Lepisosteus oculatus: one gene and its partners. The main gene of each other region encodes a partner of the protein of the gene in region 2 in a complex. Links are inferred from orthologs where the notes say so. Each region holds a gene or a part of one and is shown on either strand. Other genes may lie near its edges.

What was found.
Region 1: general transcription factor IIF subunit 2 (region 2) and polr2f share a complex: the UniProt entries of both Homo sapiens proteins name them as parts of the TBP-based Pol II pre-initiation complex. The link is inferred for Lepisosteus oculatus from reciprocal best matches to the Homo sapiens genes GTF2F2 and POLR2F.
Region 3: general transcription factor IIF subunit 2 (region 2) and ercc3 share a complex: the UniProt entries of both Homo sapiens proteins name them as parts of the TBP-based Pol II pre-initiation complex. The link is inferred for Lepisosteus oculatus from reciprocal best matches to the Homo sapiens genes GTF2F2 and ERCC3.
Region 4: general transcription factor IIF subunit 2 (region 2) and gtf2f1 share a complex: the UniProt entries of both Homo sapiens proteins name them as parts of the TBP-based Pol II pre-initiation complex. The link is inferred for Lepisosteus oculatus from reciprocal best matches to the Homo sapiens genes GTF2F2 and GTF2F1.

The regions. Positions count from the first base shown.
Region 1 is NC_090707.1:38,687,389-38,695,373, reverse strand, and holds the start of polr2f (DNA-directed RNA polymerases I, II, and III subunit RPABC2), read right to left. Parts: upstream 3,008-7,985; 5' UTR 2,862-3,007; coding exon 2,842-2,861; intron 2,606-2,841; exon of another isoform or gene 2,548-2,605; intron 2,423-2,547; coding exon 2,353-2,422; intron 2,185-2,352; coding exon 2,054-2,184; intron 1,445-2,053; coding exon 1,373-1,444; intron 389-1,372; coding exon 298-388; 3' UTR 1-297. Other genes in the region: c12h22orf23 (UPF0193 protein EVG1), read left to right, coding at 5,287-5,389, 5,765-5,827, 6,493-6,678, 6,869-7,000, 7,326-7,426, 7,664-7,747. UniProt on the Homo sapiens protein: DNA-dependent RNA polymerase catalyzes the transcription of DNA into RNA using the four ribonucleoside triphosphates as substrates.
Region 2 is NC_090710.1:16,201,816-16,208,934, forward strand, and holds the start of general transcription factor IIF subunit 2, read right to left. Parts: upstream 3,006-7,119; 5' UTR 2,922-3,005; coding exon 2,856-2,921; intron 2,159-2,855; coding exon 2,085-2,158; intron 619-2,084; coding exon 600-618; intron 1-599. Other genes in the region: gpalpp1 (GPALPP motifs-containing protein 1), read right to left, coding at 4,941-5,159, 5,852-5,947, 6,733-6,897. UniProt on the Homo sapiens protein: TFIIF is a general transcription initiation factor that binds to RNA polymerase II and helps to recruit it to the initiation complex in collaboration with TFIIB.
Region 3 is NC_090707.1:32,279,015-32,286,003, reverse strand, and holds the start of ercc3 (general transcription and DNA repair factor IIH helicase/translocase subunit XPB), read right to left. Parts: upstream 3,008-6,989; 5' UTR 2,858-3,007; coding exon 2,830-2,857; intron 1-2,829. UniProt on the Homo sapiens protein: ATP-dependent 3'-5' DNA helicase/translocase. Binds dsDNA rather than ssDNA, unzipping it in a translocase rather than classical helicase activity. Component of the general transcription and DNA repair factor IIH (TFIIH) core complex.
Region 4 is NC_090706.1:13,496,685-13,504,138, forward strand, and holds the start of gtf2f1 (general transcription factor IIF subunit 1), read left to right. Parts: upstream 1-4,443; 5' UTR 4,444-4,530; intron 4,531-4,872; exon of another isoform or gene 4,873-4,903; 5' UTR 4,904-5,051; coding exon 5,052-5,063; intron 5,064-5,257; coding exon 5,258-5,304; intron 5,305-5,489; coding exon 5,490-5,562; intron 5,563-5,803; coding exon 5,804-5,997; intron 5,998-6,396; coding exon 6,397-6,567; intron 6,568-6,815; coding exon 6,816-7,021; intron 7,022-7,454. Other genes in the region: probable splicing factor YJU2B, read right to left, coding at 540-678, 1,598-1,770, 1,871-2,013, 2,182-2,242, 2,456-2,511, 2,681-2,763, 3,365-3,418, 3,651-3,653. UniProt on the Homo sapiens protein: TFIIF is a general transcription initiation factor that binds to RNA polymerase II and helps to recruit it to the initiation complex in collaboration with TFIIB. It promotes transcription elongation.

The DNA of each region.
Region 1 (7,985 bases), on a different chromosome or scaffold from region 2:
TTCCCGAGCTCCCTGCTCGGCCCGTCAGGAAGACGTTGTCCTGTCCTCCGATCCCGCCGGACGAGGTGACGGTACTGACCGGTCAGCCAGTCAGCCCGGCTGTCTGTCCCGAAGAGGAGGGTCTGTGGCTTCCAGGAACTGGGATCAAATTCCCGGCCTTTCCCGCCGCCAGCTGCCGTTCCTCTTCGGGGGGAACTCCGCGAGCCAGGAGGAGGAGCGGGAGGGGAACTGGAGGAGGCGGGAGGAGGGGTCAGGAACGCGGGGCCCGGCCCGGCTCCGCTCGGGGGCCGGCGCCCCTCAGTCCGTGATGATGAGCTCGTCGCAGCCCCAGTCCTCGTAGCTGCCGTCCGGGAGGTAGCGCCGGATGATGATGGGGATCTTCCGGCTCCTGTGGGGGCACGGAGACGGACCGAGAGCCGTGAGGCGCGGGCACACACCCCCTCTCCTTCGAACCCGAGGCCACGCGACCCCCAAGCCTCCCCCCTTCACCCCCCTCGGAGCCAGCGACCCATCCTGCGCCCCGTTTACGTTTTCTCGCTCTTCACACAGTGGGGGGATTTTACTGGGGCCCCAGACCCGAACCCCAGCCACTGCGAAGGGAACCCCAAAAACAGCTCGCCGGTTTCTCCCCCGCCCTCCTCTCACTCAGGACAGAGGAGGGGACGAGGCGCAAGGAAGCAAGGCTCCCGATCTCCGGCCATCCCGGAGGCGCCCCGACATTCCCGGCCCCATCACCCGGAGAGCGGGTGCCGGGCTCCGGCGGCCAGGCCAGACGGCGACTGCAGGCAGACCGCGAATCCTGAAAAATCCCCACATAGCTGCGGAATTCCCCTGCGCCGCTCCGGGAACGCCTGGCACTCGGGCGCGGAGACAGGAGGCGGGAGGGGCCCCTGCCGCCGTCCGCTGCCATGGAGACGCACGACTCTGGAATACCCGCCAGCCACAGAAACCCCCTGGGAATTTCACACACGGAGAGACAGGTCACGGAGCCGGGAAGCCGAGAGTCCGGACTCCGGTGCTTTTACATCACGCCGTGGGCCCACAGGCCTCCACCATCTCCCAGGGAGCACACAGACGGGCTTACTGAGCCTACGCCGCACACAGCAAGGAAGCGCGGTTCCAGACTTCCTTTCTACGCCAAGAGTGTTGGGTGTCTGGAACTCGTTTCCAGGCCCCGTTGAAGACATCTCCCCCTCCAGGGCTGTTCAAGAAACAGCTGGGTGAGATCCCTACCAACTATTCGTTATGAGCAGCCTAACCTGCTGGGTGGGGAAAACGACCTGCTCTCGAGTGCTGCGTTCCTTCCACCCACCCTGGTGGGCACAGAGTAGAAACACCTGTTGCTCCTCCTCCCCCTCCCCCCAGCACTCACTTCAGCTCCTTCATGGCGATCTGGAGAGGGTCCGTCTCTCCTTCCAGCTCCACCATCACGGGGGCACACATCCTGCCGAGAGAGAGGGGAGGGAGGGAAGGCGTGAGAACGACACTGCCTGGAGAACACGGGACGGTGCGACGGACTGGATTCCTGCTCCACCCTCCCGCCCCTCTTTGTGAAAGGAGACTGCCGCGCGCTCTCCACCCTGGAGCCGCAGCGACACCCACAGGAGCGAGACCGGGAGGGGGGGCCAGTTTCGAGAACCACCCCGCTGTCGGTCTCTCTCTCCAGATCAGCTCAAGGCAGAAGCAACAGATCAAGAACTCCGCACGGGAGTCCTTTCCTGCAGGAACAAAGTTCTCCAGGGACGCAGGGAGTCAGGGCGCGGCTCAGGGAGGCGTAGAACTGAGGTCATGTGGCGTACGGGTCCCTCTGTGGACCCCCAGCGCCGCCATGCTCTAGAACCCTCTTATTTTCCAGGGCGCCTTTATAACCCCAACGCAGCGCCGGCCATCCTCGTGTATGTCCAGCTGGCCAAGACTGAGTCAGCCGAACTGGTCACACTCAGAGTCAAGCAACGCTCTGTCCAGCCCAACGGGGAGACGTGCAGACCGACCCGGGACGGGGAGACGGGTCTGGACCAGGGGAGCTGCAGACAGGAGACGGGTGGCCACTCACGCGATCTGCAGCGCCCGGGTGCCCAGCACCCTGGCCCTCTCGTACTTGGTCATGTAGGGGGTGGTGATGCGCTTCTGGTTGGCCTGCTGGCCCTCCCCTGCTGGCAGGATCTGCACGTTCTCCTGATCCTCCTGCGGACAGGGAGAGACAGAGGGGTTCACACCACAGAGAGAGAGCGGGGTTCACATTATAGAGAGAGAGGGGGTCAGGTCACAGAGAGAGAGGTGGGGTTCACGTCACAGCGCCCCGCTGCCAGAGAAACAGGGTCCCAAGACAAGGCCCAGGTGAGAAACACTCACATCCTCCGGGTTCTCCAAATCGTCCAGCCCTTCATCCTCCTCGACATCGTCGAAATCTCCGTCGTCGAAGCTGAAAGACAGGGAGGAAGAGGAGGGTCAGGTCGCCCCGCTGCAGACGGGCGCAAGCCGCCGGGGGGGCTGTCCTCAGGGGCTGAGGAGAAGGGGTTTGTGGGTCATCCGGCTGGGAACGTCAGAATCAACAGGGCGAGTTCGGGGCTCAGGACCCGTCCGGCATCGTCTCGTCGGACCGCAGGTAAGATCGATGAAGCCCGAGAGAGAAAACCTGCAGCCTCTTAACGCCACGGAGAAGGCGGCCAGGGGAGAACCAGCTATCAGAATAAATATTTAATAATCCAGCTGATGTGGTTCAAAATCTGTCGTCCATCTCACTCACATACGCACTGATCTCGGGATTCGCGGAAACTGCGAGCTACACGGACGGTAAACACCCCCGAATGAAACCTTTCAGAAACACGGGGATTCGCTTACTTGTCCTCGTTGTCAGACATCTCTCACCCGCAAGCGTGAGGAATTCAGAGGAAAACTTGCAGCAGTATTTTAAGCAGCCGAAAAACGACTAAACACACTCGGCACAAACAACCCGCCTCCTCCTCAGCACCACGCCGTCCTCCTTTCACTTCCGCCCCAGGCAAGACAACTTCCGGGTCAAACAGCACAGTTGCTGTACTGTCAGTTTTCTGTTAATGACCCGGATTTCTTCTATTGATTGCGGAATTTTCTTGAGAGTTTGTTCAGAATAGGGCATTATAACTGCTGACACAGTAGTACAAATATATAACACAGTTAAAAAATGACATTTGTTACTTTAACATAACAATATGAAACTTTTAGCATAATAAATGCCACTTTTCGAAGTAAAACGTACCTAATAACAGCCTTTTACCAAACAGCATGTGAAAATATTTTCAAAGCGATTAAAGAAAATAACTGATTTCATACCATATGACCTATTAATACCCACTAGGTTCCCATTACTGAAAGCTTTATTTATAAACATTAAGAGAAAACATATAACAATAGGCGACAGCAGACGAAATAACATATAAATGCCTTAGAAGAGAAGTCTGTGGAACTCGGTTACTTTGCAGGAACAATTTTCTTTAACAACCTGTTTCGGGTGGCGGCGGGGAGGGGTCATGGCGTGACGTCAAGGCCCCGCCGTTGCCATGGCAGCAGGGCTCGGCGTCCTGGCCGGAAGTCGCGCTGCCAGGCTGTGTGCGGACTGGAGACGATACCGGGTGAGATGTCTGTCTTTCTGCAGTTCATATCAGCGGTTCATAAGCTCGTGTCGGGGATGATTTTCAGGGTAACGCTTGGTGCAGCTTGCGGCCGTTCTCCCGTCCTGCACAGCATCACTGTAGCTATAGGAGAGGCAGTGTAGCTATTGCAATTCAAACCATGGGGCGATATTTATGAATACACAGTTAATAGACCAGAATTGCGTGAGTGAACGTAGTTCATAAGTATTCAATTTGCAAATGTCTCACAACAGAGGGTGGTTACTGTAATTATAATGTTCTTCTCCGGAGTGACGCTCTACACGAAATGAATGTTAAGTGAAAGTACCAGAAACAGTCACGGGGGTAAAATGAGAAATAAAGTTAGAGATGACTTCAGTTTAGACCGCCCAGATTCAGTAGAACATCTTTTATTCCCACGGCTATGATCCGGCTCAATGGGGACAATTGGATGTACATTTTACCTCATATATTTGTGTTTTTTCTCATTGTACATGAATGTCTCTTATTTGTTAATGGGTTTGTGTTAAATTGTCTTACTTGCCTGCAAAGCAAATTTCCCATCTGGGACAATCCAGTAAGTACAGGAGAGGGAGGGGAGTGAGGTCATAAACTTCAGGACAGGGGTACAGGGAGTCTGGGGGTACAGGAGCAGTGGACAGGGGGTACAGGGAGTCTGGGGGTACAGGAGCAGTGGGCAGGAGGTACAGGGAGTCTGGGGCTACAGGAGCAGTGGACAGGGGTACAGGGAGTCTGGGGGTACAGGAGCAGTGGGCAGGGGGTACAGGGAGTCTGGGGGTACAGGAGCAGTGGCCAGGGGGTACAGGGAGTCTGGGGGTACAGGTGCAGTGTGCAGGGGGTACAGGGAGTCTGGGGGTACAGGAGCAGTGTGCAGTGCAGTGGTAAGAAACAAGCCTGGGGAGACGGGAACAGGACAGAGAAAGGGCTGTTCCCTGCAGCCTCTGGAGAGGCAGCTTTCTGCCTTCACCCCCAGGCGCTTTCACTGGGACAGTGATGACTCGGCAGCCTGCCTCCAGTCCTGACAGCTTTATAGCTCGTTCGCTGCAGAACAGACACCTTTTCCAGCTATTATACTTTACCTGTCCCCCAGTTTTAGCCACAGAGAGATCTTGTTGCTCCAGAGGCTTGGGCACGAGGCCCGGTATTGTTCCTGTGTTCTTGGACTGCTCACTGCTCCCTTCACCTGACTCGTTTCCCAACAGTCAGCTCTTTCTCGGCACGCAAGCTCGTCCTGAACTCTGCTGCATGTTGAAAGTTTGTGCTGCGCACAGCAAGTTAAGGGCGGCACCTTGACGCAGCAGGTAGCATTGCTGCTTTCCAGCGCTGGGGCCCCGGGTTCGATCCCCGACCCCGAGTGCTGTCTGTGTGGAGTCTGCATGTTCTCCCCGTGTTTGTGTGGGTTTCCTCCGGGTGCTCTGGTTTCCTCCCACAGTCCAGAAAAATGCTGGTCGATTAACTGGGTACCAGCAGAACTGGCCCAGGTGTGAGTGTGTGCGCTCTGCGATGGACTGGCGTCCCATCCTGGGTGTATCCTGCCTTGCGCCCGGAGCTTGCTGGGATAGGTTCTGGCTTCCCCAGGGCCCTGAATAGGATAAAGGAAATGGTTGTGTTGTCTTAACCCCTGTGTGCTCCTGTGTGCAGGACCCTGCGTCTGATGTCCTCCAGAGACAGAGCTCAGCTCCCAGGAGCCGGGGGCGGCCTGTGGAACTGCCCCCGTGTGCCCCAGTACAGCCAGGAGACCCAGGAGCTCCTGAGAGGCGAGTGTCCCGAATGTGGGTCCGAGTGTGTGTCCCCCGGCGTGTGCGTTTGCCCATTCAGTGCTTGAGGGGGGGCGGGGCGTCGGTGCTGCGTCACAGCTGCAGACGGCAGGACAAGATCCCAGCTTGCCGCCTGTCTGCGTGGAGTCTGCATGTTCCTCCACGGGTTGGCGTGAGTTCTCAACGTGGTGCTGTAGGTCTCTGGTTTCCTCCAGCCTCCTGCAGTGCAGGCTTGGACTATAGCATAGTGGAGCCCAGAGAGTCTGGGACGGTTCCGCCGTCGTGGAGAGGAAGGTAGCGTGATCTGATGGTGTCTGGGTGTGCGTGTGACCCCGGGTCGGGGGGCCTGACAGCCTGACTTGTGTCCTGTTGCAGTGATGATGCAGGAATCCCGGCTGACCCGCTTCCAGGAGAGACAGATCGGCGAGAGGCTGCAGAGTGAGTCCTGGAACCCGCCGCCGGCGGGGACTGTCCCGATCGCGCGACTCGCCAGACACGCCCTGGCATACCCTCCCACAGGCGTGCCAGGATCTGCGCTCCTCGTCTCGCCTGAGCTCATTACCTTTTCCAAATCACACCCACCCTGAGTCACGGGGGGGGGGGGTGGTTGTTTTTAAACACGACTCCTGAACGGGGTCCTGCGGTTCCTCTCTGGTGACCCCTGTCCGACCCCGCGGGTGGGCAGAGCTGGTGTTCACGCCGCACTCGCCTCTGCGCAATGAGGGGCTTGGGTCTGTTTTCTAATAAGTGAAAATGAATTATTATTATTTTATGTCATAAAATGTATTTTTATTGGAAGAGATTCATAACCTATTTTGCACGCTCGCATTGCAGAACTGTGTTTGTGAGAATCCGTCTCCGTGTGCGCACGTGTGTCTGCTCGCCCCGAGAGGAAAAGACAGTGATCGATTTCGGGTTCTGGTCAGGTTCGGGCTTCAAATTAGGCAGTACCATTCGGGCTCGGTCGGGTTGGGTCTCAAGGTCTCGGGTAGGGGGCTTCAGTTTCATGCCCGTGCAGACCTGCAGTGACATCTACTCGTCTTCCACGCTGTGGTTCAGCACGGTTTTCATGCACCATTGCTGGTGTTGCTTTCCTCTGCCAGAAGGGGGCGCCCTCCCGCCGCGCTGTCACCCCACCTCCAGCGAAGTACCCAGAGCCCCAGCCGCAGCTCCCAGACCCCAGCCAAGGGCAGGCCCGAGCCCCGCCTTCAAGCCCCAGCGGCGCAGCGCCGAACAGTGTCAGGCCGGGGACAGCTACCAGAGGGAGAGGTTCCGCCCCAGACCCACACGTGAGTTGGCCGCACCCCGCGAGCTACAGCACCAGAACCGGGTCCAACGGTCCAGCGGTCCAGCTGTCCAGCGCAGCGGCACACAGGGCAGGCCTGGGGCCTCTCCTGGCTGGGCTGTGCCCTGCAGCGCAGCAGAGCGCAGAGCTCAGAGCTCAGCCGTGCCCTCTCTCTCCTCCTCTTGAACTCCCAGGAGACCCGGAGAAGGAGAAGAGGCGTCTGCAGAGCCTGCTGGCCACGGGGCGCGAGGAGCCCGGTCCGCCGCCCCCCCTGCCGGCCGCTGCCGGGACAGAAGCTACCCCGGGGAGGGATCGCTTCCAGGAGGGTGAGGAGGAGCACCGACTGGCCCGAGCCAGCAGTTTGCATGGTTTGCTAGACCTCTCCATCGCTTGCCTAACCTCTGCTTTCCATAAAGGGATCTGCCAGACCAGGCAGTGATGATGTGTAGCAGTCCCAGCCAACCAAAACATGGATGCAAAATATGAAAAAGTCACTAATACCCATATAGGGTCTTCCCTTTTTCATCACCCTGATCACATGTGCAAGACTGTCCCACGCTGGAGCACTTCTGATTTGTAAAAGTTCGATTCAGTGTTTCAAGAATCACCGCTGCCGAGAGTCTGACCCTCCGCGTCTTCGTCCCGTCTCAGTGCTGGACGAGATCGAGGAGAGACGGCAGTTCCTGGAGGAGATGACTGCGCTGGGAAGAGGGAAGGAGTACCAGACCATCATCAGCACGGAGATCTCCCAGGTAACAGAGGTGACGCCGTGCTGCTGACATCATCGCACCGTGTCATCGTGCACGGATCGTTGCAACACACCGATGACATCACCAGCATCAGATCACAAGGGTCATCAGTGCAGTTGGAGAACATGTAGTGATGTCATCAGCATTGCATCACTCGGGTAACAGAGCTGATGGCATCATCAGGGGCGACATCATGAACACCGTGACACTCTGTGAAATCCCGTTTCCTCTCTTCCACAGAAAATCCGTGAGCTGGAGCTGATCGACGGGGCTCGGAGCTCGGAGCTGAGCGCCCTGAGGCAGAGGGGGCAGGAGCAGCCCTGAGTGAGGGGGTCTGGGGGGTCAGCTCGGTCACCCCTTCCTGCCACACAGGTCTGGAGTGGACCAGACAAGCTCCCTCAAGGTGTCATGACTTATTCCCCACAAATAAGAGACGTGCGCTCAGCTCTGGACCTTGGGAAATTTTCTCCCGCTCCACCAACACAGACAGTGGTCCGGCACGCAGCAGCGCCACCGGTGAACACAGTTTAGACTGGACTGGACATCCCACTGAGTCACAGCT
Region 2 (7,119 bases):
TAATCCAACCCCGAGTTCAAACACCACTGCAGTAATATTGCCACAGCTCCACTACAAGCTATTTCACTAAACCCTAAAATTAATTCCAGTGTTATGCTGTAGTCAATTAAATCTACATTTAATCACAATCCTAACCCATTGGAGGTCACCACAGAAGAAAAGCAAAATAGATTCTGGGGTGCATTCTCTTGATCTGCTTCAGCACACTATTGGGTTTATTATCGAGGGGCACCAAGAAAGCTTCAAGCTCAACCCATGCTCATTTACACTAAATTGGTCAAGGATCACCATGTCTGTGAAAGATGAAACATGATTCACAAAACTGCAACATGCCAGAATCAAAACTGTTCAAACAGGACAAATGCCCCAGAAACACTCAAGCTGAAGTGAAATTTTACACAGTTACCAGATAAATGCAAATCCCATCTGGACGTACGTGTTGCTAAACTGCAATATTATCAATAAAATGGAAAAAACAGAGAGGATATAAAATGTCATCCTGCAACACTGACACCCAGTGGCACACAGAACACCTCCAGCACTAAAGCGATTCTTACATAATGGCAGTTATCACTTTTTTAATTAGACGTCATGCTTACCTCTGCTTTTCCCTGATTCCTTTTTAAAAAAAGAAGAAAAATGTGTTAACAAGTTCTATTAATGTACATTAAAGTACTTCTTTATGAAGAAATACAAATGGTTTGTCTGTGAAAGTTAATATGCACCCTGCTGACCACCTATTAATAATAACATCACTTTATTAACCCTTTACAATTTCTTGCATTAGGAATTATCTTTTCACATACCCCAGCTTGCTCTCCATGAGACACACAGACACACAGATAGGGAGAGAGTCTGCCATTGTACAGCGCCCCTGGAGCAGTTGGGGTTAAGGGCCTTGCTCAGGAGCCCAACGGAGTAGGATTCCTCTGCCGGCTCGGGATTTGAACCGGCAATCTTCTAGCCACAGGCGCAGATCCTTAGCCACAGAGGCACTGCTCCGCCCCAAGTATAATACTGTAATCATTAGAATGACTGTATATATGATGTCTGGATAATATCTGGATCTACTCCACACTCCAACTCTTTTGGCAGGGACTCATGCATGCAATGTGTCATGAACAAGTGTTGAATGGATAAAATGATCCTATCATTTCTAACATTGCGTAACTCCAAAAAAAAAAAAAGATGGGTGTTACTTTGATGAAGTTACAAAATATCAGGGCTGCCCAGTCTTTCCTAGAGGGTCAGATTGTCTGTAGAGACTGGCATGATTGGAGTACTACAGCTTTAAAACAAACTAGAAAACGTACAGACACAGTGACCTTCCAGAACCAGGACTGAACAGGCCTGCAGTATATCCAACCAAAACAGTCATAACTATTTTCTAAACCATAGAACATAAAAACAGAAGCCTACCACTGCATAAACCTCTAAAGATAAAGGTGGGATTTACATAGCTGCTTGCATTTGTATTGCAGTTTTCATCCCAAAGTGCTACACACATATCAAGCGAAACATCATCCACAGCTCCAGTGCAGCACCTGACTGGGCAACACATGGGGGCCATTTTGTGCCAGCAGCCCCTCTAAACAGCAGAGAAGTGAGGAAACACTAAGTGAACTTGAATTATGGGGAGAATGTTAAGGAGGCCAGCTTGAACAAGCCTAAAGTGAACTTTATCCAGAACACCAGAGTAACACCCCAACTCCAATGTGCCAAGGGGTGTCTCTGGGCTAGTCAGGAAGTCTCTAGCTGAGGGACAGCACATCTTATAGCGCAGTGTTGCCAGTCACTGTACTGGGACAATGGTTGGGAAATTTTGATTTGGTGGGGCAATAACACCACCGCCTGGTCGAGCAACAGCGCTTAAAGTAGCACCCAGGCCCAGCCTCGCTAAAGAGTAGCGTGAAGCTAGCAACATTGAGCAATGTGAATTAATTGGAAGTGTTTGTAAACAGCTGAATTTTCAATCAAAGTAAAAGTCCACACTGCTCTTGCTCGTGCAGAGATCTGGGCACAAGGAAGTCTAGTGCTTTAAGTGCCTTACAAAATTACTACATGGGTGAAACAGGTGCACTCACTTGCAAATTTTGAGCTTTCCCACTTCACCCCTGCCTGTTGCTTTGGCCCACTGCTGTGAAAGGTACTTTGGAACCTGTAAGGAAGAAGATTAGAAAATATCTCTATATCTTTTCTCTCTCAAGACAAACCTTTGGCCATTTAATTTAACATCTCTAACAAGAGACTGGGTCACACGCCCCATTACACACTACAATGAGTGGGTAGGCAGACCTTTTACTTCATTTTAGGTAAAACTTTCATTAAAGCATTTTTCCACGATTCCCATTAAGTGAACGACATCCATATACAGTCACTGATGTGATTAGATCATCTTTCTTGGCATAAAAACGAATCATTCATCAATTCTGGCGTGTACTTCGTTTTCATCACATTAAACTGCTTAGGGTCGATGTCTTTTTTCCCCCACAGCTAAGGAGGCCTGCTTACAGGGTAAAATATTGAGACTTTCTCCACCCCGCGATCTCTACCCACGCTGCACGAACAGAATACAATAACAGCTGAACTAATTTCCCAAAAGACAGGAGACACACTTTTAAATGATAAAACACACAGAAGGGAGTGGAAGAATGTGGATATTCTTATGAAATTAATGTAATTCAAATTTTTATGTCACATCTGAAGCACTGCACACGGCTTTATTACCAGGCTAACTACAATTTTCATTTCGTGTCTTTAAGGGATTTAACTTTTTGCGACCCGATGCCTGTATCAGTAGCCAACCAGACAAATAAAAAAACATTTTCAAACGTCTGGGTTCCCGAAAAGCTTACCTTTACCAACCAAACGCCAGTATTTTGTTTGGCTCCTGTTAAATCGACTTCTCCCTTCTCAGACATTATTATAGTGGTTGTTATTATTACTATTATATTATACAGTATTTGTCACACAAGCCACCATTCGGTTTTTGTTCGTGCACTACGTCTCAGAACACAAACACTAGTGCAACTGCGCACGCTAATACGGCGGCCCTAAGGGAACAAACTTCATGACTCACCATTACAAAACGCGGTTCACTACAGTGATTTCGGAAGAAGTTGATAACATCGTTCTCTTAACGGTTAAAGAACGTATTATATGTGTAAATAAAATTACGAAATCTGTTGGCTAAGTTTGGAACTTAATACAAATCTGGTGCAAGCTCATACTTAACTAAAGGGTACATACTAAGATTTAGTTACACTACCACATTTTACACCTGTTTTATTCAAAATCCTATTTTTTCTAATGTTAATCAAATTTATTTTTTAATTTTATATATATATTCAGAAAAGGAAAAATAGTTTCACAACACTGTTTTCCCTATATTGGTAAATAACTCCTTAACAAATGCAAAGCATTACATTTAAAATTCCAGACACAAACTACTTCAAAAACGGGTTTTCTAAACTGACTTAAGGTCATTTACAATTATTTTAAAAGCACAGCATACTTTCAAATAAATACTAAAGACACATTTTCAAAAACTTTTAATTAAAAAAACATGTAAAATGTGATGGACTGAAAAACTACATTCATTGTATTAATAGAAACTAGCAGAAATGCATTTCAAGGATAATTTCAAGATACAATACATTGTACACTTAAACATCTTAAAATAGCTATTTTGAAAGAATTACCCAGAAAAATAATCCACTTAAACATATTTACATTAAACACTAACAATGTTCTGTGATGCAATATTTATAGGTTTTTTTCTCCACAACAGGCAATACCTTATTTGAAAAACATTAGATTTTTTTCTCACAGTAATTGCTGTTTTGGTCTTTATGCATTAGGATTTAATGTAAGACCAAAATGGCCTGGTCACTGCAGAAGTTTGCCTTTTTTTTACACTGCAATCAGTGGTGTTCTTTCCAAACCTGTGATGAACTGCAGTGCGTCTTATCCCAACTGGATTCAGAATCTATCAGGCTGTGCTAGATTTCCTGACATGAAAATGTTAAGTGAAGAGGGAAGCAGAAAACCTTGTGCAAGGTTTCTTCCGTAACATTTGATTCGGAGTAGAAAATAAATATAAAGATGGTCCTCTTTGCATGATCCAGATCTGTTATGGCTTGTAAAACAGCTTCTCTTAGAAAATAAACTCTGAAAGTCAAATAACAATGTGCTACCCACAGATCTATAATGAATCAAGAACCTTGTAGAACTGGAATTAATCCTAAGAAATTGTATAGATCAGGAGTCCTCACTCTCCTAGTCCTGAAGAGGCACTGCTCATCCCTGCGGGCTTTATAAGGAACTTCCAAAACTCTTCATTGATTACAAAATTAACAGCTGTAATATTAACTGATTAAATCAATAGTGGATTAAATTAAATAATTAGGAGCTCTGGTAGACTGGAAAGCATGAAGAGCATGGCATGTGGCTCACCAAGATCAGAAGTTTGGATCACTGCTCTACACTAACAAATTCCAGATGACATTTCTGGACAAGCCTGAACACACATAAACATGTTTCGTGAATGGTCAAACGTAGATCTGGCAAAGAGAGATTTCAGTAAGATGATACAACTAAATCCGACATCATGTCCACAGGGCTGATATTTGATACTACCCGTCTTTAAAAATCTGTCTGAAAGTCATTATTCCCACCTACGGAACTCACAAAGACTTTCCCTAATAGATTCTCTCTCTTTTTGTTCAAACTACCTTCTTCAGAATTCAAATTTACAAACCCCCCTTACACACAAGAAACAAATCACACATGATTTTATATGGTATCTTCATGTAAAACTCTGCCCTCCAATTAATCGTCTGCAACATCCCTCTAACTCCTACTAATACTTCCATCCTAAAGGAAATAGAGCACACCAGTTCTGGTCGAGTCAGGCCTGCAGCCTGGAGCAGAGCAGACAGCTAGAGGAACATGGTGCCTTTGCTATGTGAGAACCGGGTGTTGAGTTCCTGAGACTTCTTGATTAGAGCCTTCTTCTGGGCCTGGTCAAAGCGATTCACTTGCAGGTCCTGGTCCCTGTCAAAAGGCCGTCTCTCCTGGGGCTTTGTGACTTCCTCCTCCGTCTTCCTCTTTAACTTCTTTGTGTGCATGTTGAGGAGAGACTCGGACCGCTTGGAATCCTGTGTTATTAGGGAAGAGGCGGTTGATTTTAATGCAGAGCTGCATCAGAACCTAGCTTCACAGATAATCCACAGAACGCATTTTACTTCATAAACATGCAGGGGAGGGGGGAGCACAATGATAGCGAGGTTTATTTTCTTCATTGAAACCACACATTTTACAGGGTTTTCTTGCTAACTAGTATGTACAGGATGGTATTCCCCCCTTTGTGACAATAACACACTTACTGTAACAAAGCCAGTGGATACTATAACAGAAAACATGACCATGTTCGATACGCGTCTCTTTTTCTGGATAAGACAAATCTGAAAAAATGAACATCTTTCCAACTGTGTATACTGTAAATAACTAGTTCCAAGGGCATACTTTAATAAGATCTAAGATGCAACAGAACTGTATCACCATAACCAACTGGCCTGTATTTGATAAGACAAGCCTATGGAGAGCATGTACTGTTTTACGTGGTGGAGAAAATGTATTGTCATTTCTACAAAGCCCTTTTAGCTGTTAGGTAAGCAGGATGTCTTCGGGTTGCTTTCTATAAAAAAACCTATCTGGTATTAAATATAACAGTGAAAAACTTACTCTGAATACAAAATCAAAAAAGATCTGGTAAATCAACTCTCTTAAGCTGCAATTATGATTTTTACTTTTTTTGGACAAGCTGATGATTTGCTATTAAGGTACTTACATTGTACTTGGACACCTTCTCCGCCATCTCCTGATCCCTCTCCGACAGCTGTGGGATCTCCTCCTTCTCCGGACTCCTTTTCCCTTCCAGGCGCTCCTATGGAAAAAATACCCCCAGAAAGGTAACAGATGAGAAGGAGAAGATACCACAAGGAGCCTTCCTCATTTTAAATGATAAACCCGAGAAAAAGAAATGATCACGACACACATGATGCGAATGTTCATTTTACAAAGGTGTTCAGTGATGTGACTCTGCAGTTTTGGTGGGGGTGGGCTGTATTGTTTTCAACAGGAAGTCGTGGTTCCAGTGGTGTTAACAGATCTCCGTCCATCCATTTTCTAATCCACTTGTCCAAGGTACATGCTGGTCAGAATACCAGTCATTCGCAGGGCAGACACAGTACCAGACAAACACACTCTCACAGACTGGGACAATTTTCCCAGAAACATGTCCTTAAATAGATTTATTAGCTACCAATATGCCTATGATTAGCTATTAATGCCAGATATGTCTTAAACTACAAATATTAAAAGACTGGAATGCTGTAACTGCATCGGCAATGAGTAATGAGTACGGAAAGGAGAATTTAGATTTCCTTTCAGCCGTCATGCAGTGAGCTGAGTGTAGGGAATATTCTGACAAAGGCTTTGTCATGGGGAAAGGACACCATGGGACCATAAGTTACAGGCCCTTTCAAAAATAGTCCATAAGAAGCAGAAAAGCAGTACCAATTACTTGTAATATTCATTTGATTTTCCACACCTCTCTATGTAAGAGCTCCCCAGATCAGTAATCTCTCGCTTGTTTATGCACAAGGCACGGTTACTTTAAATTGCTTTTACTCGTTTCCCTCTTGAGTGAAAGGAAACTCGTTAGCCCACCCTGGCTTTCCTCTCCTTGTCAGCTGGGGTGTCAGTCCACAGGGAGCGATCTTTACACTCCGGTCCCGATCTCTTCTTAAAGGTTCTGGGGCCGAGGCCAAAGTGCTGCAACTCAGGGGGGAGTTCGGTCATCCACGTTTCCCGAGCGAGCTCTTTTGGATCATCCTGAGGACAGAAACATATGCCATAAGGTTACTGTCAATTCAAATAATTACTATGACTGCAATGATCATTTTAAGTGGTTTATTATATTCGCATACTGCAGAAAGAAATAATGACCCATATTAAGTTACTTTTATAAGGAAAAAGACTTACATGTTTATGTACGCTATATACAACATTTGGTGGCAATTTAACGCAACCATCCCTAACTCTAGATGAAAATTC
Region 3 (6,989 bases), on a different chromosome or scaffold from region 2:
AATGTATTGTCTACATTCTAAGGCGTTGTCTATTGTACTGTGCACGTCCTGAGAACTCAGCACGAATAAGAATTTCAATGTACATATGTCAATAAACTCCTCTACATCAGCTTGTCTGAAAATTCAGGTTGTCCAGTAAGCGGTACTTACTGGACATTTGTTCTTAGCAAAACGGGGCCTGCAACACAACCTGGCCCTACACAACAAATGTTTGGCCTATTAATACGAGGCCTGAACTGCAAACAGCTACTGTTCACAACCCTGTTAATCCTACAATACTTCACTTCAGCATTTCATGACACTGGGACTCTCCTGGAAGTCTTGAAGCTTTCTAGCTACTGTTATTATTTTACTAACCGGACACCAGATGATAATCTTCATCAGTGCTGACAGTAATTCATCAGAAACATATCAATATAGGTAACAACTTGTTCAAAAATATGACATCCATATGAGGTTGAAACCATCTCGTAACTTGATCTCAACAGATCTCAGAAGCAATGCAAGTCTAGACATGGTCATTAAGATCGTTAAGGAAAACTTGGTTGCTGCTTGAAGTGGTGCTGTGGCCCAGCATGTAGCACTATTTGCTCTGGACCAGAACTTTCAACTATAGTATTTGACAACGGACACTGTCCTGTAGATAGCTGCAGTCATTTGGGTAAGACCTAAAATTATGGTCTTGACTAACATCTGACTGTTAAAATTCCCATGGCAAAAGTAGGGGTATTAATCCTGGTGCCGTGGCTAATTCCTGAATTAATCTGATGTGTAGGGAGAATGCTGTCTGACACTTATCAACCAGGTGGGTGCAGCATTACAGTACTTATAATAACAAACTTTATTTATAGAGCACCTTTCATACAAATAGCAGCTCAAAGTGCTTTACAAACCCAGCGCAAAAATAAAATCTTCAAATTCAGAGACATACTTTCAGTTGTAAAGGAAAACACAGTCATACAGTAAAGCAACATATTTGTCAATTTTATGCTTGAAAATATATAAAACAGAAATTAGGAAAGTTGTCATAAACAAAGAACAATAAAAGAGAAATAAAAAAAGAGAAAGAGAAAGAACAAAGAACCATTTGAACTAAAAGCTAAATTAAAAAGATAATAACAAACCACAAGTTCCCTTAGTGCTGTAACATGTAAATGGGCACATTAAAGTAGTTTAAGTAGGAATATGTTTTAGGATTATTGCTCTTGCAGATTTGTATCAACAGTTTAGATTCGGGTATAGTTAAGTTCATCCTTCGGATGAGACGTAAAACTGAGGACCTGACTCACTGTGGTCATTAAAAATCCCAGGGCGTTTCTCGAAAAGAGTAGGGGTGTAACCTCGGCGTCCTGGCCAAATTTCCCCTTGGCCCTTACCAATCATGGCCTCCTAATAATCTCCATCTATGAATTGGCTTCATCACTCTGTTCTCCTCCCCACTAATAGCTGATGTGTAGTGAATGTTCTGGCGCACTATGGCTGCCGTCGCATCATCCAGGTGGATACTGCACATTGGTGGTGGTGGAGGGGAGTCCCCATTACCTGTAAAGCGCTTTGAGTGGAGTGTCCAGATTAAAGCGCTATATAACTTTAAGCAATTATTAATTACAGTGAACTGTATCAGGACAAAATGTGGAGAAGGGTTCTGGGTACAAGGACTTCTCGGGTAGAATTAAAAAAAACTGAAAAATTGGAATTAAAAAAATTCAAAAATTCAAAATTGAGGCACGTAACATAATGGAATGGGTTAAATGAAAGCCCTCCTAAAGAAGGTTTTGAGTCTAGGTTTGAAAGATTTCAAGGAAAGTGACCCTCTGATATCCTTAGGGTAGAGTTCCAGAGCTCTGGGGCATAACAGGAGAAGGTCGTGTCACCCACAGAGTGTAGACGGGCTTGGGGGACAGATAGGAGACCAGAATTAGACAAAAGAAGGTTTGCAAGGTGGGGGTAGGAACACAGTAAGTCAGACAGGTATTGAGGTGCCAAGCCATGCATTCTGAATTTGAAATGAAACCTGACTGGATGCCAGTGCGGGTACTCCAGGACAGGAGTAATGTGATCACTTGCACACGACCTGGTCAGGATTCTGGCTGCCGAGCCCTGTCTCACCTGCACTGTCATTGCGGTCAGGGGTTAGGTCATGCTCGTCCACGGGTTTCTTAAAAACAGAGCAAAAACCTTCGGCAGCATTGATATCGGCAAACGTCTGTCCGCCGGGCACATCTCAAACCTAGACAGCCATCCCGAAGAGAAACTGCATTCAGCCGGCATCTTCAGCTTTTCAGGAAAGTCTCTCGCCTTCTCCCGCAGCACAGCCCCTGAGGTAGCAGGGCAAACTATTCGTGAAGCACCTAATCCACGTCCTCCAACTTAACCCGATGGAAGGTAAGCCTCCTCTCATCTGTCACGGGAGATCTCAGGCTTCACGAAAGACTCCCTTCGTTTTGATCAAAATCAGACGTACTCGGATCCGACCGCAAACTCGCCATAAAGCTCCTTCACCAAAACCTTCGTCTGGGGGTCGGATATGAGAAAAGATAGATGTCGATCAACTTGGCTCACTCGTAAAACAGTACGGATTGCACCGGGGAAACGTTCACTTAAGGGAGAATGAAGACCAACGACTGTCCTGGTCCTACTGTAGGTAGGCAAAACATCGCGTGCGTGCATGAAGCAAACTAGTTTATTTTTTATGCCTTGTTAACAGTATTTTTCCCCCGATTGCTACAGGTCATTGCTATGCGTCATTACCAGATCCGAGGGAGTTTATTGTACTACCAATAACAATGGTAACCAGAAGAGATAGCACCTTGAATGACAACAACTCACCTCGACCTCCCTTGTCCTTCTTCACCATAATGTTAGACTTACACAACTACAATGAATTAATTACGACGACTCGGCTTTCTTCATTTAAATTCTTGAAGACTTTTGCTGCCGATTTCTTACAGACGCCACACAACACATCCGACAACGGAGGCTGCCATATTTGTTAAATGAATTGCGCATGCTCGGTTAGTTCAAGTCCCAAGCAAATCCGGGAAATGACTGTAGGTCACATATGGGTTTGAAAACTGATTTGAAACTGTTTTTTAAAAAAGGAAACCTTCTAGTGGTTCTTGTCAACATTGTGGTATTTGAGGTGCTGGAATTAGTGTTTATACTATTATTAAGTTTTATTGCATCATCCCAAGTATTAAGTTTTTTTGCTACTGTCAATTAATAACTGGGGCATGCATACAGTAATATACATATTATTGTTAAAGCGACAGCACATTTTAAGGCATTACTGTTACTAAGGAATACCTAATTGCTGTTCTTATTCCGATACATTAACGTCAGCCATACGCCAAAATGGCGTGTTTTCAGCCATCGGTATTAAAGTAGACAGCCGATGATCGTCTCAATTCTGCATGGGCAGATATTATAGATTTTTGATGATGCAAGGTTTTCTGGTAAAATTACAAACTTGTTCTTTCATTTCGGAAATCAGCGGACCTAGACACTAACCAGAAATGTAGGAACTGCAGTTTTTTCCCCCCGCTGCGACAGTAAGTTTTTTTCGTCAAACTTACTTATTGAACATGAAATAATACAAAGGAGAAATGTGCATCCGAAAAAAGATGTGAACAAAAAACAACAACAACAACAACAACAACAACAACAACAACAACAACAACTTATACACTGCCCAAAGTAATTACAATCAGAAGTTAAAACACATCCGTTTTGCTTTTTGCCTAGTTATTTTCAGGTTTTTAATGGCGTCTAAGTAATACTGCATTTCTATGTTCATAAGCATTAAAGGGCAGAGTAGCATTAGACCATGTTAGTATATATTCTCTGCTACAGTACAAGGCAATGCTTTAAAGGAGGACATTTCTGGGGTCTTTCCTTCATTCTAGGACGTGATGTTCTTTTTCTACTGTTGCATTCAGAACTAAAATGGTAAAAACCGGACATTAATTTCAAATCATTCCGAATAATATCGTTTTAAAACAGGCAGAAATTTGACCTGGCAAAAAGGAAGATGTGCAGTTATTACAACTATTGAGCAGCAGATGCGTCACCTGCCTTGTAGCCTGATCTCAGAGCCGAGGTCTGTTGGGTAAGACCATCTTGCCCCTACAGTGATGTTGGTGGACCAGTAGGTGGTGCTCTTCCCTCTGGACCAGAATTTCCAAACCAATGCCCCCAGAATAGTGACTTGGGACACTGTGTACCACTGAATGAAGCATTAAACTAAGGTCCGGGCCTCTTGGTACTTATCCAAAGGGTAGGCGTCAGGGTTTAAAACCTGCTCTGGGTGTGTATGATCCAGCGAATTGGGTTTTTCATTCCTCCACTGAGACTTGAGTTAGGTACCCAGGTCTGCAATTATATATGTATACATAGCGAGAATTTGATTAGGATGCTGGGATTACACCCCTACTTTTTTTTTCTGAGAAGAGCTCTGACACTTTTAATGACTTTTTAATGACAGTTTTATGTCTAAATTGACGGATGGCACCTTTTGACAGTATAGCTTCCCAGTCACTACACAAGGGCATCAGGACCACACAGACCACAAGGTAAGTGCTCCCTTGGTCCCACTAACACCTCTTCCAGCAGCAACCTTAGTTTTTCCCAGGAAGTCTCCCATCCAGGTACTGGCCAGGCTCACACCTGCTGAGCTTCAGTGGATTGCCAGTGATGATTTATAACCTTGCAATTTCATTCCATCAATACCTCGACATGACATCTCTCTATACATACAGGTAATAATTACTATTATTTTAAGTAGTGCGAAGTATTTTAAGTATAATATGGTTCACAGATTATTTTTTCCTATTGATGTGATCTCTTATGGAAAAAAATTCTGCACCATTGAAACTACAATGTTAATACATCTTAAAATCGCGGTGGGTAAATTATTTTGTGAGTACCACTGGTTTTGTAGAATGTGATGAATTCGTAACTTTCCTAAGAGTGTAGAATAATTGAGGCTTATTAGCTGTAGATTTAGTTTGCGTTTCATATTCTGAGATCGTATATTGAATTAACATCCTATAGTGTAAAATAATACACACGGTACCAAAATCTAGTCTTATAATTAAACAATATACAGTAAATTACGCGAAAAGAACGTACAACTGTAAATACAACTAATACATTTTCCTAATACAGGTGCCATTTTGACAAAACGTATTTTCCTGAACCCCACATAATTTCAATGACGAAATCCAACTCGGAACACAAACTACCTCTGACATCACAAGATTTGTGCTGCAAATTCTTCAAACTCTTGTGTTGCTGTTACCTGGCGGCGAATTTGCTCAAGAACGTGCTATGTTGTGAGCATTTAAGAAATCAATTAAAAGAAAAGTTAAGGTGACCGTTAATGGAATAAAAAGCTCGTAATGTCGTTGCAGCGCTAACAATTTAGAAGGCTATCTTCCTCGGTGGGAAAAAAAAACGGTTTCATCACGGTTCTTACAGTAACAAGTAAATAGGAGGAAGCGCGGCCTGTTCCAAAAAGGAGGGGAGGCGCTTCAGCCTCGGACTCGAGTGGAGGTTAACACGGGACTCCTGAGCCCTCGGCGTCTGCGGACTCGCCTATCAGCGGGGCCCAGGCTGACCCAGCCGGTCCTGTGAATGAGGAAGTGGTACCACAGATCCCCAGGTAATAAAAAGGACTACATTGACTACCTTTTACTCCCTGTTTTAGATTTAATTCACTTCAATGTGAAATATGCGAGAGCCAATTTCGATATAAATGCTGGAACGTGGAGGAGAACTAAATAGAAGAAATTCGTGGTCTGTGAGCTTCACTGTAATTTAGTTACATTGCCAGAATGTCAAAACAGGGATTGCTGATTTTGTAAGTCAACTTGTGAACCAGTCCATTTGCTAAACGATACGATGATTGCTGGATCTATGTGAATCGTTTCGGAGAAATAAAGACTGCAATCGTAGTGAATCGTTAAGAGCAGTTACGGTTTAATTTGGAACAGTGTGATTGCAACTTAAGTGTTGTTGGCACATTACAATGGTTGCCGAAATGTTATTTCGCACCATCAGCTGTCGTTTTGACGTATCGCCTTACTGTAAAGTTGTCCGTAATTTTACCATTTACTCGACGTATTGCTGTCCCGTATTTTCAATATGTGCGAAACCTAACGTTTGGGAAATTAACATTGCGAAGTCACGTAGTGGCTCTGTGAAAATGCCTTTTTTTTTAATTCTAATGTTAATTGCATGAATTGGATGAAACGCAGCCCTTTGCAAAAAGCGTAAAACGCGCACTTCGCAGTTAAATCACAGTGTTTATTTAGTTGGCATGGCAAGGTCTAGGATAACAATTTGAAAGCTTAAAGTGAGAGGAAAATATTTTTTTAGTCGCACTCTTTTAAACTGTATCTACACACACATCTCAAAGAGCGAGAGTTTTCATGCTACGAGGAGGCTGTGAGCGAAGAGGAGTCAATTTGGCCCATCTAGGCCTAATTTTGTTTTTTAGTAGCTAATTAAGCCTAGGATTTTATCTAGCCCTTTCTTGACAGAAGGCAGGGTGTCAGCTTTGAGAACATGGCTGGACGGCCCGTTTCAGCCCCCCGCATCCCTTTGTGTAAAACACCACTGTGTGCCGGCTTTATCGATGCCTTTGACCATTTTGAATATCTGGATCAACCCAAATCCGAGTTGTTTAAGTTTGAACAGATTCAGTTCTTTAATCCTGTTGCTGTGTAAAACATTCTTCTGGGCCTAAGAAAATATCTGGCTGCACTTTGCTGGACTGATTCTAGAGCAGCAGTTTTGTTTTGTAGATGGATGACTACAATTGTACCCTATTGGCAGTGAGGTCTTGCTACCACATTGTACAATTTTAACGTTACAGCCCTTCGTTTATTTATATATGTAGGATTTGCTGTCTACATGTAACACTCTGCACATCTGCAATTGCACATTTTTCTGTCTAAGTCATTTTAAATGCATTTTAAATCTTAAAC
Region 4 (7,454 bases), on a different chromosome or scaffold from region 2:
GGGTGTGGTGCTGTACATGTACAGTGCGGTGCGCCCCTGTGCTGCCCAGGGCTGTGGGGTGTGGTGCTGTACATGTACAGTGCGGTGCGCCCCTGTGCTGCCCAGGGCTGTGGGGTGTGGTGCTGTACATGTACAGTGCGGTGCGCCCCTGTGCTGCCCAGGGCTGTGGGGTGTGGTGCTGTACATGTACAGTGCGGTGCGCCCCTGTGCTGCCCAGGGCTGTGGGGTGTGGTGCTGTACAGTGTTGTGCGGGGCTGCACGTTATGGGCTGTGGTGCTGTACAGTGCTGCGCGGGGCTGCGCGGGGCTGTGTGCCTCTGTGTTGCGTGGAGCTGTGGGGTGTGGTGCTGTACAGTGTTGTGCGGGGCTGCACGTTATGGGCTGTGGTGCTGTACAGTGCTGCGCGGGGCTGCGCGGGGCTGTGTGCCTCTGTGTTGCGCGGGGCTGTGGGGTGTGGTGCTGTACAGTGCTGTGCGAAGCAGTGTGCCTCTGTGTTGCGCGGGGCTGTGGGGTGTGGGGCAATACAGTACTGTCACTCACAGTCAAGGCTCTGGAAGGCAAGCAGGGAGGCCAGTTTCCTGTCGCCCTCAGACTCAGGGACAAGAGGGATGGACAGACTGGCTTTGTTCCGAAAAGCAGAGTCCTTCTCCTCCTCCTCAGCCTGCGCTTTCTTCTCCTCCTGACAGAGAGAGAGGGACAGACTGTTCACAGTGTGCGAGACTGACAGGGACAGGGAGAAATGGAGAGACCAGATTATTCTCCACCTGTAAACTCCAAGGCCAAGCTCCCAGCAGTCTGGAACTTTAAAAGGAGAAGAGGGGAAACACCACCCCTGCTGGACAGCTGGAGCTCTGTCCACTATGTCTAGAAGTGGCAGAATACCTCTGCCATTCGGTCAGTTTCATAATGGGTAGCAACTCAATTAAACGAGGGGCTTTTCCTCTGTGAACCTACAATTATCACGCTAAATTATCACGCTAAAAGTACTGTTTTTACAAGACAGTAAAAGTAAATTACAATAATCTTGATGGGTAATAAAAATGTAGCTGGCACAGTGGTATGATGGTCTGCACAACTTGGTCCAATCTGGTCTAGGTTGTCCTCTGTGTGGAGTTTCTCCCTGTGTCTGTGGGGGTTTTCTCTTAACTGCCCCTGGTGTGTCTGCGCTGGACCAGGGTCTCTGGGCTGCCCCTGGTGTGTCTGCGCTGGACTGGGGGCTCTGGGCTGCCCCTGGTGTGTCTGCGCTGGACTGGGGGCTCTGGGCTGCCCCTGGTGTGTCTGCGCTGGACCGGGGTCTCTGGGCTGCCCCTGGTGTCTCTGCGCTGGACTGGGATAATTTGGATGGGTGGATGGAGTGATAATTTAGCTTGGATGGGCGAGAAAGTGCTCAAGTACAGCACAATCCCACCACGCTGGTCTCCTTAACTCTCCAGCTGCGGGCTCTGGGGAATGCGGGCGGCAGCAGGGGCATCCGTGTCCTGGCCAGGCCCGGCTCAGCAGGCTCCGTCTCCAGAGCGGGGATCCCCTGACCAGGCTGGAGAGGGCGCTCCTTCCAGTCAGCATGTCCTCCACCTCGTTGACACACCACTGCCACCTACCCGGAACTTCCTGCGGAGGGCGCTGTTGACCTGGAAGTCGTCCCTCCAGGCCTCCTGGTGCTCCTGGATCTGGGAGAGGGTTGGGATTGCGGCACGCAGCTTCTCCCGGTCCTTCCCGCCGTGCTCCAGCCGGAACATGGCGTCCGTCTCCAGCTTCTCCTTGTCGCTGCGCTCTGAGACATGGGGAGACACAGCGGGAGAATGACACAGCCCAGCCCAGCAGCGGAGTGAGGGGTGAGCCAGGAGAGGGGCAGGGGGAAGGGGGTGCCATACCGGTCACCAGAATCTGCTCGTTGTCTGCAGGGTCCCAGCGCTCCTCCTTGCGGCAAGCCCCGCTGACAATGACGTAATCGCAGCTGGCTGGGTCCGTCTGCATCTCGATATAGTTCACACACAGGTGACACTTCATCCTGAACCTGAGACACAGAGAGAGCTTCATCCTGAAATTGTCTATCTCTCACACACATCTTCCTCTTCATCCTGAACCTCTCACACACACCGGAGGAGTGCACACGCTATCCATACAATTCCATTGTACCAGTACCGGTTACATATGGCAATAATGTTCAGGTTCAAGTTCATACCTGTAGATAGGGGTGGTGTAATAGTTCCCCACCTTCTTCTTCTCAGCATTGTATCGTACCCCTGCAGCACAGAAAAGATGAGAAGCACTGAGCATGCTCGCACGCACACTCTCCACTGAGCACAGGAGTGCTCGCGCGCTCGCACGTTTGCACGTTCGCTCGCACGCACACACTCCGCTGAGCACAGGAGTGCTCGCTCGCAACCCAATCACACAACGGCAGAGGAAAGAAGGCTGACACGGGGAGGAAAAGGGTGAGGGGTACAGGCTCATACCCATGCCAATGTGGTTCTTGCAGCCATCACACCAGATGTTGTAGGGCATCTCAAACCTGCAGACAGACAGGTGTCACTGGGACCATCTCACCCACGGGAGCCACGCAGAGATTAGTCTATAGTATTCAAGCTGGTACAGAAACAGTATTGTACACTACAGCTTGCTATAGTCCACAGTGTGTGATTCTCAATGCACGTTACCCTGTGTGCACTGCAGTGACTCACCGGATGATGAGGATGCCCTGGGACAGTTTCCTGGCCCTCTCCCGCAGAGGGTGGCTGTTCCTGTAGCCATTGAGTGACCCATGCTGGAAGACAGACATACGCAAACTGAACTTTTTTCCCCAATTAGAGGCCCTCTTTTTGCTTAAATCACGAATTTCTAGTTGCAAGTATACCTACAAGGGTGGCATGACTGCAAAATGGTTAGCACTTCTGCCTCGCAGTGCTGGGGCCCTGGGTTCAATTCTGGACCAGGGGTGCTATCTGCGTGGAGTTTGTATGTTCTACTCATAATCGCTTGGCTTTCCTCTGGGTGCCCCAATTTCCTCCCACAGTCCAAAAACTTACTAGTAAGTTAATTGGGTTCTGGGAAAATTGGCCCTGTTGTGAGTGTGTGTGTCTGTGTGCCCTGTGATGGACTGGTGTCCTGTCCAGAGTGTATGCCACCTTGTGCCCACTGCTTGTTGGGACAGGCATCCTGAATTAAATGAAGCGGGTAGAAATTGGACGGATCAGTAAAATCAGGAGTAGTCAGGGAAATGCCTGTGTATTTATTTGTTGTTATGCCTGGACCACATTGCTATTGACCTGTCATGCCTACAAAGCATGACTCAGAATGGATATGAACTCTGCGTCACACAGACAGACACACCAAGCTTGCCTCTCGCCCTTGTCTCACTCTCTCACCTTGGCAGGGTCGAAGTCAGGGGGATAATATTTGTTCACTCCTTTCCGCTCCCCCTGAAAGAAAAAAACCCACAAATGAACACAAAGCATAAGAGGACTGAGAAACGTGAGACAGACTCAGAGGGAAGACTGCAGACAGGCAGAGACCTCACAGGTACAGGAGAGGGGGACAGAATGGCCACAGCTCAGAGCACAGGGAGAGAGGAGACGGGAGACAGAGAAGGACAGAGAGTGAGGGAAAAGGAACAATGAAGAAAGATCAGAGGAGCTAGTGATCAGTTCTCACCATCTTGAGTCTGGGGCCACTGACACTGAGGACAGCGTTTCACACTCAGAACACAGGACACCTCAGGAATAGCACACACCCCGGTCACTACAGCACCCCAACACCTCTGGAATAGAACACACTCCGGTCACTACAGCACCCCGACACCCCGAAACCTCTGGAAAAGAACACCCCCCCCCGGCACCTGTGGAATAGAACACACCCCGGTCACTACAGCACCGCGTCACTACAAGCACCCCAACACCCCGACACAGCTAGAATAAAACAGACCCCTATCACTACAAGCACCCCGACACACCTATAATAAAACACAACCCGAAAGCCCAAAACCGCGTGAACAGAACACGGCGTTGTGAAACACAAAACTATGAGAAGAAACTACCAGAGAACTGTAACTCCTTTTGGCCTGTGGAGATTGTGTTATTAATGTTGTTACATCACAAAAAAAACAAGTATATTTACATTATATAAACAAAGAAAGGTTTCAAAAGACGCTCGGAAGCGATACACAGCAGTGACGTAATTAATAATATGTTCAAAATACAAACATATACATCTATATTTCAGTAAAATAATAAGTAACGACAGACGTAAACAAATTACTATGCAATACTCACGTTAGCTCCTCTCGAAAATTGTTCGACGTCACTTCCTTTGCGTGGGAACGAAGTGAATGTGAATGGTCTAAATACATTAATGATAGGTGAAGGTAAATACCAGGCACATCGATAATTACCATGTAAATCATATAATCTATTTGTTTAAGCTAGTGATTTCTAACTTGAAAAAAAAAGAGATATTGCGAAATCGCTCGTGGAACTATTCGGCTTTCGTCCCCTTGGACCAGACGGACACATTAAACCGGCGGACCAGTGTTTTGGTGAGTGCGCTGTTTGCTGTATCATAACTGCCTTCTAGTTATAAGTTAGTGGTTTTCACAGTTGAAATCTGAAATTAATTCGTGAGACAAAGAGAGGTATTATTCTCCTCTGTGACTGTTAAAGTTCCAAAGATATAAGGAAGCCGTATACGGTTTATTAAGACGGGTAGCGTAAATGCTGTTGTATTCGTTTGATTTATGCCTTAATGCAAGTACACGTACAATAAAAACAACCACTGGCTTGAAAAATGAACATTGTGTGATACCGAGGCTAAACAGTGTTGAGATAAGAACTAGTATTACTACAAGTAGTAATAAAATCCTCGCAACACCGTGTGTGAGCCGTGAGCACGGTGTGAACCTCTATTTTCAGGGTGTCTGAAGTTCAGTGTCCTCTGCTCGCACTCTGAGCCCCACACAGCGTGGCTCTGTAACCCTGCAGTGCGACACGCGTGGAGCTGAAGAGCCTTCTCTCTGTATCTTCGTCTGTACCGCTGTGGTGACCCCGGCTTTTCGCAAACATGACGTCCCTGGTGAGGACCGAGAGAGAGGCGGTGTGGTGTCTGTTCTGTCCGTGTCTGCGCCTCTCGTTTCTCTCCCCTGTCCCTCTGTCTCTCTGTACCTCGGTCTCCGTTCAGTCAAAGGGCTTCAGTCTGTAGGCTTAACAGAAAGTGGACACGGATTTGTGCTGTAATCTCCCTCACTCTGATCTCACCTTCTCTCTCAGGGGAGCAGTTCTTCGTCTGCCATGGAGTATGTCGTCAGAGTGCCCAAGTGAGTGTCTGCATTGTCCTGCTTCATACATGGGTCATACAGTACTCCCGGTGCTGTCCAGTATCGGACTGGACTGCTCTAGGTCATACAGTACACCTGGCGCTGTCCTGTATCGGACTGGACCGCTCTGGGTCATACAGTACTCAGAGTGCTGTGATTAACCCTGTGACTCTCTTTTGCCCTAGAAACACCAATAAGAAGTACAACATCATGGCCTTCAATGCAGGAGACAAGGTCAATGTCTCCACCTGGACTCAGGTAAGGCTCAGTGAGGAAGAGGAGGCAGCAGTGTGTGAGGCTCAGTGAGGAAGAGGAGGCAGCAGTGTGTGAGGCTCAGTGAGGAACCCTCAATCAGGCTCAGTGAGGAAGAGGAGGCAGGAGTGTGTGAGGCTCAGTGAGGAAGAGGAGGCAGGAGTGTGTGAGGCTCAGTGAAGAAGAGGAGGCACCATGTGTGAGGGTCGATGAAGAAGGTGGCAAAGGTGTGGCGGTCTCTCCGCAGGCGCGCATGGAGCGTGACGTCAGTAACAGGAAGATGTACACTGAGGAGGAGGGCCCGGAGTCAGGGGCGGGCAGTGAGTACGGCAGGAAGCAGAGGGAGGAGGCGCGCAGGAAGAAGTTCGGCATCGTGACCCGCGAGTTCAGGCTGGAGGACCAGCCCTGGATCCTGAGGGTGAACGGAAAGGCAGGCCGCAGGTGAGAACAGCCTGGGGGAGGTGTGGGAACAGCCTGGGGTGGAGCCTTGGGCAGAGGATTAGAAGAAAGGGGAGGAGACTGAGGGAGGTGGAATGGGAGGGGGAGGGGATTGGGGAAGGTGGGGATGGCAGAAAGGGAAGAGAGAGGGGGAGGAGCCTGGGAAAGGGAGGTGGAATAAAAGGTGGGTCTGGGACAGAGGGGGAGGAGCCTGGGAAAGGGAGGTAGAAGAAAGGGGAGGAGACTGGGGGAAGGGGGAGAGAGAGGGGGGGAGATTGGGGAAGGGGAAGGAGAGGGGGAGGAGATTGGGGAAGGGGGAGAGAGAGGGGGAGGAGCCCGGGGGACAGAGCAGATCAGCCCTGGATCCTGGAGGGTGTCAGGGCGTATGGTGTGTTCCTGCAGGTTCAAGGGGCAGAAGAAGGGCGGGGTGACAGAAAACGCCTCCTACTACATCTTCACGCAGTGCCCTGACGGCGCCTTCGAGGCCTTTCCTGTGCAGGGCTGGTACAACTTCACTCCCGTGGCCAAGCACAGGACGCTCACTGCGGAGGAGGCTGAGGAAGAGTGGAGCCGGTACGGGCGGCAGGGCGCTGTTGTGAATGCGATCGCATGTGTGTGCGTGAGAGCGGGCTGGAGTGCGCGCGCGTGAGAGCGGGCTGGAGTGCGCGCGCGTGAGAGCGGGCTGGAGTGCGCGCGTGACAAGGTGCTCAGTCTCTGCAGCATCATGTCTGACTGTCCCCCTGTCCCCCTGTCTGTCAGGAGGAACAAGGTGTTCAGTCACTGCAGCATCATGTCTGTCTGTCCCTCTGTCTGTCTGTCAGGAGGAACAAGGTGGTCAATCACTTCAGCATCATGCTGCAGCGCCGCCTGAAGGAGCAGGAGGGCGAGGACGGGGAGGAGGAGGAGGACAGGGAGAAGGGAGGGAAGAAGAAAAAGAAACCAGGGAAAGGAGGGGACCTGCGCATCCATGACCTGGAAGACGAGCTGGAGATGAGCAGCGAGGACAGTGACAGCAGCCCAGGGGAGGGTGAGAAGGAGGGGGAACAGCCCTGGGGGACAGGAGAGGGTGAAATGGAGGGGGCAGTCTGGAACTTAATGTCCCTGTCCTGCTGTTCCTCCTTCCTCTCTCCCTCCTCTGCTGTGCCTCCTTCCTCTGTCCCTGTCCTGCTGTTCCTCCTTCCTCTCTCCCTCCTCTGCTGTGCCTCCTTCCTCTGTCCCTGTCCTGCTGTGCCTCCTTCCTCTGTCCCTCCTCTGCTGTGCCTCCTTCCTCTGTCCCTCCTCTGCTGTGCCTCCTTCCTCTGTCCCTCCTCTGCTGTGCCTCCTTCCTCTGTCCCTGTCCTGCTGTGCCTCCTTCCTCTGTCCCTGTCCTGCTGTGCCTCCTTCCTCTGTCCCTCCTCTGCTGTGCCTCCTTCCTCTGTCCCTCCTCTGCTGTGCCTCCTTCCTCTGTCCCTGTCCTGCTG